Saccharomyces cerevisiae S288C: one gene and its partners. Each later gene encodes a partner of the first gene's protein in a complex. Each region holds a gene or a part of one and is shown on either strand. Other genes may lie near its edges. A codon is read from its position in the direction of its gene.

Evidence for each region. The genes of interacting proteins can lie anywhere in the genome.
Region 2: the proteins of SPC34 (region 1) and SPC19 are in contact, whole or in part, in a cryo-EM structure (PDB 8Q84), measured with the Saccharomyces cerevisiae proteins. Residues at the interface, in NP_012963.3 of Saccharomyces cerevisiae: Ile52 (codon at 1,775), Glu59 (codon at 1,754), Leu63 (codon at 1,742), Phe64 (codon at 1,739), Lys70 (codon at 1,721), Gln71 (codon at 1,718), Val73 (codon at 1,712), Arg75 (codon at 1,706), Gly81 (codon at 1,688), Val82 (codon at 1,685), Phe83 (codon at 1,682), Tyr115 (codon at 1,586), Lys118 (codon at 1,577), Asp119 (codon at 1,574), Ser158 (codon at 1,457), Thr160 (codon at 1,451), Phe161 (codon at 1,448), Leu181 (codon at 1,388), Phe201 (codon at 1,328), Glu203 (codon at 1,322), Thr207 (codon at 1,310), Ile210 (codon at 1,301), Met214 (codon at 1,289), Trp221 (codon at 1,268), Leu223 (codon at 1,262), Phe226 (codon at 1,253), Leu233 (codon at 1,232), Asn236 (codon at 1,223), Tyr237 (codon at 1,220), Leu240 (codon at 1,211); in NP_010487.3 of Saccharomyces cerevisiae: Arg45 (codon at 866), Arg48 (codon at 857), Leu49 (codon at 854), Val50 (codon at 851), Pro51 (codon at 848), Tyr53 (codon at 842), Asp54 (codon at 839), Val55 (codon at 836), Arg57 (codon at 830), Ser58 (codon at 827), Lys59 (codon at 824), Asp61 (codon at 818), Leu62 (codon at 815), Glu65 (codon at 806), Val66 (codon at 803), Leu69 (codon at 794), Val70 (codon at 791), Leu73 (codon at 782), Lys76 (codon at 773), Leu77 (codon at 770), Lys79 (codon at 764), Ser80 (codon at 761), Met81 (codon at 758), Arg83 (codon at 752), Met84 (codon at 749), Gln85 (codon at 746), Glu87 (codon at 740), Leu88 (codon at 737), Leu91 (codon at 728), Gln92 (codon at 725).
Region 3: the proteins of SPC34 (region 1) and DAM1 are in contact, whole or in part, in a cryo-EM structure (PDB 8Q84), measured with the Saccharomyces cerevisiae proteins. Residues at the interface, in NP_012963.3 of Saccharomyces cerevisiae: Gly2 (codon at 1,925), Ser4 (codon at 1,919), Leu5 (codon at 1,916), Cys8 (codon at 1,907), Ile9 (codon at 1,904), Asp11 (codon at 1,898), Ile12 (codon at 1,895), Ala15 (codon at 1,886), Ser18 (codon at 1,877), Met19 (codon at 1,874), Leu22 (codon at 1,865), Tyr23 (codon at 1,862), Phe24 (codon at 1,859), Lys25 (codon at 1,856), Pro27 (codon at 1,850), Gly28 (codon at 1,847), Ile29 (codon at 1,844), Phe30 (codon at 1,841), His31 (codon at 1,838), Ile34 (codon at 1,829), Arg45 (codon at 1,796), Ile48 (codon at 1,787), Leu51 (codon at 1,778), Ile52 (codon at 1,775); in NP_011628.4 of Saccharomyces cerevisiae: Gln60 (codon at 1,355), Leu64 (codon at 1,343), Ile67 (codon at 1,334), Arg68 (codon at 1,331), Leu70 (codon at 1,325), Ser71 (codon at 1,322), Ile74 (codon at 1,313), Ile75 (codon at 1,310), Leu77 (codon at 1,304), Asp78 (codon at 1,301), Phe81 (codon at 1,292), Thr82 (codon at 1,289), Leu84 (codon at 1,283), Asn85 (codon at 1,280), His88 (codon at 1,271), Glu89 (codon at 1,268), Ala92 (codon at 1,259), Asp93 (codon at 1,256), Glu96 (codon at 1,247), Gly99 (codon at 1,238), Ser100 (codon at 1,235), Leu102 (codon at 1,229), Tyr103 (codon at 1,226), Met106 (codon at 1,217), Trp110 (codon at 1,205).

Annotation. Positions count from the first base shown.
Region 1 is NC_001143.9:509,870-513,603, forward strand, and holds SPC34 (Spc34p), read right to left. Parts: upstream 1,929-3,734; coding exon 1,041-1,928; downstream 1-1,040. Other genes in the region: CAF4 (Caf4p), read right to left, coding at 1-764; KAE1 (tRNA N6-adenosine threonylcarbamoyltransferase), read right to left, coding at 2,130-3,290. UniProt on the Saccharomyces cerevisiae protein: Component of the DASH complex that connects microtubules with kinetochores and couples microtubule depolymerisation to chromosome movement; it is involved in retrieving kinetochores to the spindle poles before their re-orientation on the spindle in early mitosis and allows microtubule depolymerization to pull chromosomes apart and resist detachment during anaphase.
Region 2 is NC_001136.10:854,380-857,314, reverse strand, and holds SPC19 (Spc19p), read right to left. Parts: upstream 999-2,935; coding exon 501-998; downstream 1-500. Other genes in the region: RAV2 (Rav2p), read left to right, coding at 1-417; VPS64 (Vps64p), read left to right, coding at 1,222-2,935. UniProt on the Saccharomyces cerevisiae protein: Component of the DASH complex that connects microtubules with kinetochores and couples microtubule depolymerisation to chromosome movement; it is involved in retrieving kinetochores to the spindle poles before their re-orientation on the spindle in early mitosis and allows microtubule depolymerization to pull chromosomes apart and resist detachment during anaphase.
Region 3 is NC_001139.9:717,204-720,424, reverse strand, and holds DAM1 (Dam1p), read right to left. Parts: upstream 1,533-3,221; coding exon 501-1,532; downstream 1-500. Other genes in the region: chromatin-remodeling histone chaperone SPT6, read right to left, coding at 1-16; cytochrome oxidase assembly protein SHY1, read right to left, coding at 1,898-3,067. UniProt on the Saccharomyces cerevisiae protein: Component of the DASH complex that connects microtubules with kinetochores and couples microtubule depolymerisation to chromosome movement; it is involved in retrieving kinetochores to the spindle poles before their re-orientation on the spindle in early mitosis and allows microtubule depolymerization to pull chromosomes apart and resist detachment during anaphase.

The sequences.
Region 1 (3,734 bases):
TCAGATGATCTTTCTTCTTCCATTTGCTTCCGTAAGCTCTGTTCACGATCAGCTTCCAAATTGTATTCCTCGATAAAATTTATTCTATCCTTTATCAGTGTTACATCATTCTCAAGATTGGTAGACTTACTATCAATGTGCTTAACCCTTTCCAGGATTTTTAATTTCCTGGATTCTAGTTCGTTGATCATGGAATCTAATCTGGTCAACTCATCCATCTCTAACGTTTTATTGATTGACAGATTTTCCACGTTAGTTTCTACATCCTCAAGTAAATGTGTTAGGTCAATTCTAGAGTACGTTTTATTCACAAAACCAGTATTAATATCCGGCAATTGAACGTATTTTTCCTTATCACTATTCGTGGCCCCGTCTACATTGTCTAACAACAGTCTCTGTTGAATGATGGAAACGGTAGCTTTGAATCCTTCAAATAAAGAAGGTAAATTCTTTTCAGCGGCACCGTTGGGTAGCGGGTATCGCTGCTCATCTAAATGAGCAAGTATTCTGAAAGTTGTTGCAGAGTCTGCATAATTGTTTTGAAAGGAAAATATCCCTACTTGTCCTTTCTGGGTATCTTTTGTACTTTCGGGCCAAGCCACCTCTCTGAACAGTAGAAGTTTGGAAAGATATCTGTAGATGGGGCTCGTTATATATTTTTGAAATTGTTGTTGCGCTAGTATGGCATGTGGTAGCTTATTAAGTATAATTTCGATTGGTTTAGCTACCAGAGAGCTTTCTCCTCTAGTATCGCCCGAACCCATATAGAGATACTCTTTTTTACTCTCGCTCGTGGTAATCTTATATGTCATTCATGGTTAGTTTTTTTTTTATGACTATTTTTTTTTTCCATTACGATGAGGAAAGTTTATGTGAGAAACATGAAGCTACATGCTTTAACAGGAGACAGACCCATGGTGGATCCGCTCAGTTGGTTTTATACATTTAGATGTAAGGTAATACATAATTATATGATTTGCAGTGGCCTATGTATGCAATTAGGACAAAGGAAATATCTATTCTTGAGGAGAAGTGCTCCCCTACTCTTGCAAGTTGGCTATCTCCATTTCTAGCCGCCTAATTTCATCTTTTTCTTTTCGAATAATCTTAGCAACGTCGTGAGAAGAAGAAGGATGGTACTGTGACATAGTCTTTAAGCGATCATCTTGAAGCAAAACTTCTTTCTTGATGAAGCGCAATTTGGAAGAAAGTTGTTCATAATTATGGTACAATTGGTCGTAATCCTGCTTGAACTCTGTTAGTGGCCATAAATCTGTTACTTCGGCCATAACTTTAAGAATTAAATCAGTAGGGAAATCCTCGACAAAGATGGTTTTTCTTCTTTGGTTATTGGATTCTTCTTCCATGAGCACGCTTCCATTTTCCAAGGCATATAGGAGCCTTTGAATTTGCGGATCATCCTTGAACACGGCTGATAATGCTTTGAATGTACCTGAACTTGAATTTGAAATGACAGAGGATCCTATAAGATCGGTATCAAAAATAAAACCGTTCAAGCCACCGCCACTTGTAGTGGCGGTTCTTCTCCTTTTATTGTTCAAATCAAGACGATCTTTGTTCAAATATACTTCCTTGGGCACATGGATGATCGGTTTTTCCCCTGGTCTGCCCAGCCTTCTATTTCTTTTCATGTCCGTATCTCGTTTAATAACATAGTCGAATACTCCCTCCTTGCCGTCTCTACGTGAAACGGATTGTTTCTCAGGGTTGACTTTGAACAGAAGATACGCCTCGTCGTGGTTACAGTCCTTTATTAGTCTAGTAATGTCTTTTCTAATGCTTGCCTTGTTGCTTGCTCCCTGTAGGATGGCATTATGAAAAATTCCTGGTGGCTTGAAATAGAGTGTGGACATAGAGTCCACCGCCCTATTAATATCATCTATACATCTATCCAAGCTTTCCCCCATTCTGTAATTGCCACGTCTTATTTTGTTAGGTGATGATCTAATTTTTTTGAGCTTTGTTTATTGATTATTTTCAAATGTCTCTTGCTTATTTTCGCGCTTCCACAAGGTTATACACTGAGCTGTAAATGTAAGGTGTATGGCATATATAAATATATATATATATTCGTAGTGTGAACATTAGGCTAACTGTAACAAAAATCGTTAATCACGCCAGGCTGCGTATACTTCATCGGTTCTGAATTTCTGCGTAACAACAGTTTCAGAAAAGTCCTTCACGATCCCACCCATTCTATACTCTAGTAGTCCTGCTTGGGCAATCATAACTCCGTTATCGATACAAAACCTATTATCTGTAGCATGTACTTGCCCATTGGCCCTGTCTTTACACATTTGCGCCATCATTTCTTGTAATCGCACGTTACAACCAACACCGCCTACGATCAAAACTTGATTGGAGTTAACGTGAGCCATAGCTCTTTCTGTTATTTCAACTAGCATGGCGAATAGGTTCTCTTGCAGAGAGTAGCAAAGATCCTCTACAGTGACTTTTTGCTCGCCCGTTGTCTTGTCGAATAGGATCTTATTTTTCTTATTGCCCTTAAATAGATCCTTGGCAAGTAAATCGATGGAAGCCAATATACCACTCATCGAAAGATCCATCCCCTTTACTGTATAGGGAAGTTCTACCAAGTTTTCTTTGTGAGGGGCTTTTTTAGCTAACTGCTCGATGTTGTAGCCAGGCGAGGGCTCATTAGGTATCTTCAGAGTTCTTGCAAATCTATCAAGACAATTACCGATAGCAATATCAAGCGTTTCACCAAAGATACGGTACCTTTTTTCCGAGTATGCAATAACTTGTGTATTTCCACCACTTACATACAGTACCACAGGATTTTGAGCTTTAGTGATTTCTCTCCCCATTTCGATGTGACCAATGCAGTGGTTTACTCCCACCAGTGGCACGTCCCACAGTAAGGAGCACGTTCTGGCGGCGATGACAACTGAATGCAGAGGGGCCCCCATGCCGGGACCTTTGGTAAAGCAAATTACATCAATGTCTAGTGTCGGGCTTTTGATGTCAGCTTCGGCCAGTGCTTGTTTTATGAGTCTTATGCACCAATTTCTGTGATGCCTTGCCGTGTCTCGAGGCAAAAATCCCTCCCCAGGAGGTGTGACATATGTGTCTCTAATATTAGAAAGCATCTCAGCTTCGCAATCATAAGATAGATCGCTGTTGGCATGTTTAGGCAGAAGCGGATGCTTAACTATACCAACGCCCAGTTTATTTGCAGAACCTTCAAGTCCAAGCGCAATGTAGTAGTCCCTGCCATTTTTGGGTGGGATAGTGTTCAAGTTGACCATTTTGCTCCCGACTGCATTAGGGAACGCTTGGGAATTCCCTTCACGTAAAAGATAAATATATGCATCGTTGCACGAAGTAAAAATGGTTACTCTCGAACTCATCATAATGAAAGAATTCAGTTTTTCCGTATAAAGCGATATTACAGGAGGAATAAAAAGCAAAATAAAAAATCTCCGCGACGGGGAATTGAACCCCGATCTGGCACGCGACAAGCGCCCATTCTGACCATTAAACTATCACGGAACGTTATTTGTTGGATTTTTTCTCTTAGTTTTAAATATTTATATTTCGTCGAATTGGTACCTCTACAGCTCAGAAGCAGATGTCTTCAAGTTTTTTTATTGTGTCTAAATAAGAATCAACCATTATCTTGACAAATGGGTGAATTTTAAGATAATTGTTGGGATGCCATTGATGATAAAGACTATAATATACATACACAG
Region 2 (2,935 bases), on another chromosome or scaffold:
CTTTGCATAGAACTACGAAATCTAATTAAGGTGACTAAAAAACCTTGGTGCGAGATTGATAGTAAAACTGGCAGGTCATTTTGCGACCAAATAAGAAATCAAGTGACAAATGAAAGAAACAAAACTTTATCTAAGATCCTCTCAGAAAACGGTGTACAAGTCCAGGATTCCACATTACTTAACCACATAATTTCTTCTTTTCAAAGTGAAGCTATAACACTTCCAGAAGCTCAGGAATTATTAAGAAGGGGCGTTACTTTCGATAATAGGGTAGTCATGGAATGTGAAAAGTTAATAGTATCTACAAGTGATCCAACTTTGATCAGTATAAGCGCCAAATTGAACAGTCTCAAAGCTTCGATGGCGAACCATCAAGCAAATTTGGTAGCTAGCAAACAGTTAAGTACATATAAGTAATCTACTAGCGATAACATTAACAATAATTTATAATACAAACTGGATAAAGAGATAAATGGATGCTTTAAAAAATAAACTTCTAACTATTTCTGTTTGAGTATTTCCAACTTATTCTCCAGTTGCTTCTTCTTTTCCTTTAGTTTCTTCAATTCTTCCAATTCCTCATTAGTAGAAGATGCCATCATAACCACGTCGTCCGCGTCTCTGCCTTCGTATTCTTGACCCATGTCTGGACTATTCAGAGCATCATCGTCATCCATACTAATGTTCTTCTTTAGCCTTAAATCGTTTAATTCATAAGTTTGCTGCAAAGTATCGAGTTCCCTTTGCATTCTACCCATAGATTTACGTAACTTATCGCCCAGAGTCCTAACCAGCGGTTCTACCTCTTCAATCAAATCTAATTTTGATCTTTCAACATCATATTCGGGAACTAAACGGAAAACCCTTTTGGTTTGCAACATTGTCGATGCAAGGTTCGTGCTTGGCTCATTTGCACATTTTAAAGACTCCACAGAATCCTTCAATACTGAAACTGTTCCCTCCAACGCAAGGACGCTCTGTTCCAAAGCATCTGTCATGGTTATTTTGCCTATCCTTCAATTCGTACACAGATATATGCGTCTGTGATCTGTTTATTATTCATTTTCATTGTTGCTAACTACTACGCCCTGTGAAAACAAACTTTATAATCGCCAATAATAAATACATAATGAAAGTAAATCGCAATCCGGACCCCACGGATAGTCACCAGTCTCACCAACTGGAAATTAGAAGGAAGGAAGACAACTGTAAATTCTTGGCATGGTAGAACTGGAAAAAAGAAGACGGCCCCCTCCGCAACTGCAACATTCTCCCTATGTTAGGGATCAATCGAATTCGCAGGGAATGACAAAGACGCCAGAAACGTCACCGCCTAAGAGGCCCATGGGAAGAGCTAGATCAAACTCGAGAAGCAGTGGATCCCGTTCAAATGTCGATATAGATCAGTATACCATACCACCAGGCTTAGATTTGTTGCCTACCGCTTCATCTCCACCTTCCGTCCATCAAGTTTCACAACAGCAACAATTATCCCCAATATTAGCCAACAAAATCCGTTCTCCATTTGAAAATCAAAGTCAGGATCAAAATGACAATTCAATAGACCCAACACCGGCTGGACAAGTAACAATTCCTGTAGAAGCCGTATCTCCACCGGCACTGGACGAATTATCGAAATTCCAAAATGGTTCAACTGAGACATTATTTAGAACTGGATCACCCCGTAAGAAGCATACACATATTATTATACTCAAATCCTTAAATGCAACTTTTGAGACCAAGTTTCTTGTTGTACCATTTAAACCTGACGGACTTAAATTAGGTCGACCAGTTACCAATAGCGTAAACAAGAATAATTCAGGATCGAAAAGAGATTTATTTTCGCAACAAGTTAGACCAGATAACGGAAATTTTGACTCAAGAGTTCTTTCCAGAAATCACGCTTGTCTCAGTTGTGATCCTACATCAGGAAAGATATATATTCGCGATCTAAAGTCCAGCAATGGGACATTTGTTAATGGGGTTAAAATACGCCAAAATGATGTAGAATTAAAAGTTGGTGATACTGTGGATTTGGGAACTGATATTGACTCAAAGTTTGAACATAGAAAAATCAGTGCGTATGTGGAAGAGATTTCAGTAATTCCCTTAATGAACACTGTATCTGATCCCACAAATTTGGTGATGAAAAAACAAGATCATACTAATAAGAATAATGGGAACTCCACTAATATAAACGGAATAAAGATAGACAGAGGTCATCATAATCAACACATTCCAATACGATCTCATTTAAAGGAAAATTATACCGAAGCTGGTGTAACATCTGCAACAACGGCTCAAAGGGCAGCCTTTGAGGCAGCTATGTTTGGAGATATTAATAACTCAGAATTAGATGATGATATTTTAGGTCCAGAAACTGAGGTTCTCAGTGGAATTTTTATCAACAATTCAGCAGGTACAAGCATAAATTTGATAAATATGATAAAAACTTTGACTACTGAGCTGTCCTTAGAAAAACAAGAGCTGGAAAAATTACATTCCATGCAAAACTTTATGCAAAACTATACGATAAACCTTGATTTCATCAATAAGCACATGATTGATATGAATGAAAAGCATTTACTGAAACTGAGCACGGCTTTACAAAAAACTCTATCAGAAAATAATGATGCGCTACTCAAAGAATCGGAAGATCAATTAAAAGAAATCAAACAACAAAATAATAAAGTAAAATCTGCATGTAGCTTGAAGGAAAAACAAAACCATGAAAAGCTACAGGAGCTCGAAAGTGAATTAAGAGAGCTGAACCTTCAAATAGAAGAAGAGAGGGGAAAAAATTTAGTTTTAACACAAAGCAATTTTAATGGTGGTATTAACAATGACAATAACGCTAAAGTAAAACAAAATGATTCAAGAGAAGAAAAAAAGGATACCGAAGATACATTAATAAGCACTGAAGAACTAGGAGTCG
Region 3 (3,221 bases), on another chromosome or scaffold:
CTCCCGTCTCTTCCATAAAAGGCAAATTCTATGTAAAGATTCTAGGCAATTAATGACCTGTTCGCTTGGGTTATTCTTCAAAGCACAAATCAATATCTTTCTTCCTCCTTTTGCTTTAACCGTTGTCCAGTTTCTTGTCAATTTGGTTTGCCATACATAACGAAAAAAAAATGACAGTTATAGAAAATATTACCCGAATTTTCCCGCACTTTTATTGAAGACGTTATATAAAGGGGTACTAACTAATTTAAAAATCATTCATGACTCGCATAGTGGCACAGTAATAGCCTCGACCGCCTGTCCGTATCTTCTTTTATATAGATATATCATGTTTCGTTGTAATGCGGGTTGTGCCCATGCACTGCTGATATGTGTACTGCCTTCCTCCCTATTGCTATAAAGAATCAGTCAGCTCATCAAATATTCTTCTTATCCATAACTCACGCATGCTAGCGATATATTTTGTGAGGAGGATAATTCTTTGGTTGGGTTGGGCGTAGTCATCTGAAGGGGGGCCTTGTATTTATTTTTTTTTCAGTTTTCTTTGCAACAGAATGTCTGCTTTCTGTGGGTTTCCTTTCAGCACGTCCTGAGAACATTGAATTTCTGTTCTTCGTAACGGGCCCATTGACCACTCTTGCAGCACCACTTCCGAGTGATATTCGATTATTTGGATGCAGATCTCCCAAATTAACAACATTGTCGTTTTCGATGGGTAAATCAGCGCCGGAAGCAATGCTATTTCTGATTGTATGTAAGATGGACTTTCTTCTCAGTTTACTGTTGGTATTATTATTCAAACGCGTGGTTTTAGTCACGTGACCTTGAGATGATTTGGACATACCGATATTTGTTGGATTTAGAACAAAAGAAGCTTCACTACTAGTATCGTCTTCATAGTCCTCCTCATTCTCTACTTGTAAGTTGTTGCCTATCTTGGAGGGCTTCCTCTTGTCTCTGTTGTCATATGACCTGTATTTTCTTACTTGTGAGGAGGGAAATAGCGGCTGGTTAAACTGTTTGTTCTGAGATGCCTTGGCCAAATCATTTTCACCTTGTTCGTCTTTTTTTCTTTTAATCCCGCGTTCCATATTGGAGAGTTCCATTACTAAGTTATTTTTCTCATCTTCCAACGATTTCAATTGTTTAATAGCGATCAAATCGTCTTGAATATCATGAGGCGCCTGTGAGAATTCTACGCACCATGAATTGCTCATAATACCGTACAACAACGAACCTAGGGATTCATTAAGATCAGCTAAACTCTCGTGGATAAAATTTAAGCGCGTGAAATTGGAATCTAAAGTAATGATTGAATCGCTCAGTTCTCTTATTTTAGGCAACAGAAGCTGTTGTATGGTATTCTCGTTATATTCGCCAACGGAACTCGTTAATCCCTCTTGATCAGCAAATTTCATCAGGGATGAGGATTCACCCATAGACGACCTTCTTGAAGTCGGAGCGCTACCAATGGATAAACGATATTCCGTGGCAGACCTTGTGGTCCCTAATTTAGCTTTATCTTCGCTCATAGGTGAAAGTGGCAATACAAGCCTTTTCTGATATTGTTTTGGTGCAATTGCTGAGCTTATACGCTCCAAGTTTCAGTGCAATTGGACAAGTTTAACGCCAAAGGATTCATGCGTCGATAAAACATGTTTGTTTTGGCTATTATTTATCGATATTGTCCGGGCAACGCGCAATGTTCATATCTTGAGCGGCACATAAGGTATATGGATAAAAAGGTGTTAGTTATGTACAAGTTTAAATTATGTAAATGTGCCATATCCGAATCATTGTAGTTGCAAAACTAATGTGGAAAACCGTTTAGGCAGTGCTCGTGAAATTACGCGCTTCTTGGATAGAGTTCGATAGTATGGGCAGAGGAGTTTGCCGTTTACATATATTTCCTTGAATGCTTCAGTTTCTCTTTCATTAGTTGGTCTTGGGACACAACGCCCCCTCTTTTCGCCTTCCTAAGAGCCACAATGAGGAAGATTGTGCTCAAAAACGAAAGGCCATACCACGTTACCAAATATTGTAGATGGTTATTCTTTAAATCAATAGTGGGCTTCCGGCCTATGGGAACACCTGCTTTGATAAACTGTCGTTCATCGAATTCAATTGTTTGGTCTGTCGGCATTTCCTGCCTAGAACGAGGCTTCGATGTATTATTATCAACAGCTTGCGTTCCGTTTACAGCAGTCGTAGGTTCTCGTTTCCAGAACTTCCACAGGCTAGAGGTGGAATTGTTTTGTGAAGCCTCGTTTCTTGTGTGTTCCTCGATTATTGGATGGTCCTTCATGTCATACAAGGCTTGAAATTGAATGGGCGTGCACCCTGATGATCTTGCCATGTCATATATGTCTGGCACCTGCCACAATCTAGAATTTGGATCCTTTTTCGCCCATTGTAGCGAGCCTCTTTTCTTTGGAGGTCTTACTAAGCAAACCACTTTCAAGTGTTCTTCTTGAGGCAACGACAAATGGTGTAAATTTCTTGAGTCAGGAGCAACTTTTTCTTCACTTATCCACCCTCTTTCTATCAGAACTTTCTCACCGGTGTCATCTCTAATGAACGGTGTAAACAGAAAATAACCCTTTTCTCCATTTTTCTTTCTTGGACCAACAAACATCTCTTCATTGTGAAGGAAGTGTCCGGTAAGTATAACTTTACGGTATTCCCAATCCTCGCACATGTCAGGTGTAAATGACTTAGGAAGTGGTATTGGTTCATAAGTAAGTTTAGTTTCGCATGCCGCAATCAGCTTGGTTTTCCACTTCAATCTCCTTACTTGCCAAGTTCCCAAATAGAAGGATATTATTGGCATCGCGAACATCAGACCCAGAACAATTTTCTTGCCAAAGGATCTTTCTCTTCGAGAATCATCATTTGGGCTCTTACCTGTCTTGATTGGTTTCCAGTCTACAGTTGACGTTATGATGCCTCGGTACTGTTGATTTCTTGAAGCTAAGAGGTACGTGGATTTGCCAATAGCATTCTTAGTCGGAATTGATGCAGCGATTGAAAACCAACGGTAAGTGGACCTGGCGCCTAGTAGAGACATTGCTTTCCTCTTTTATTAAATCCTGAGTATGGGTTACTGAATGCAAAACGGTTAAGATGGCCCTCTGTTTTCAGTAGTCGGCGTTATAGGTGAAAAATATTTCATCATTGCATAAGAATCCCTTAAATATACTCGGCTACATCAATGCGAGCTA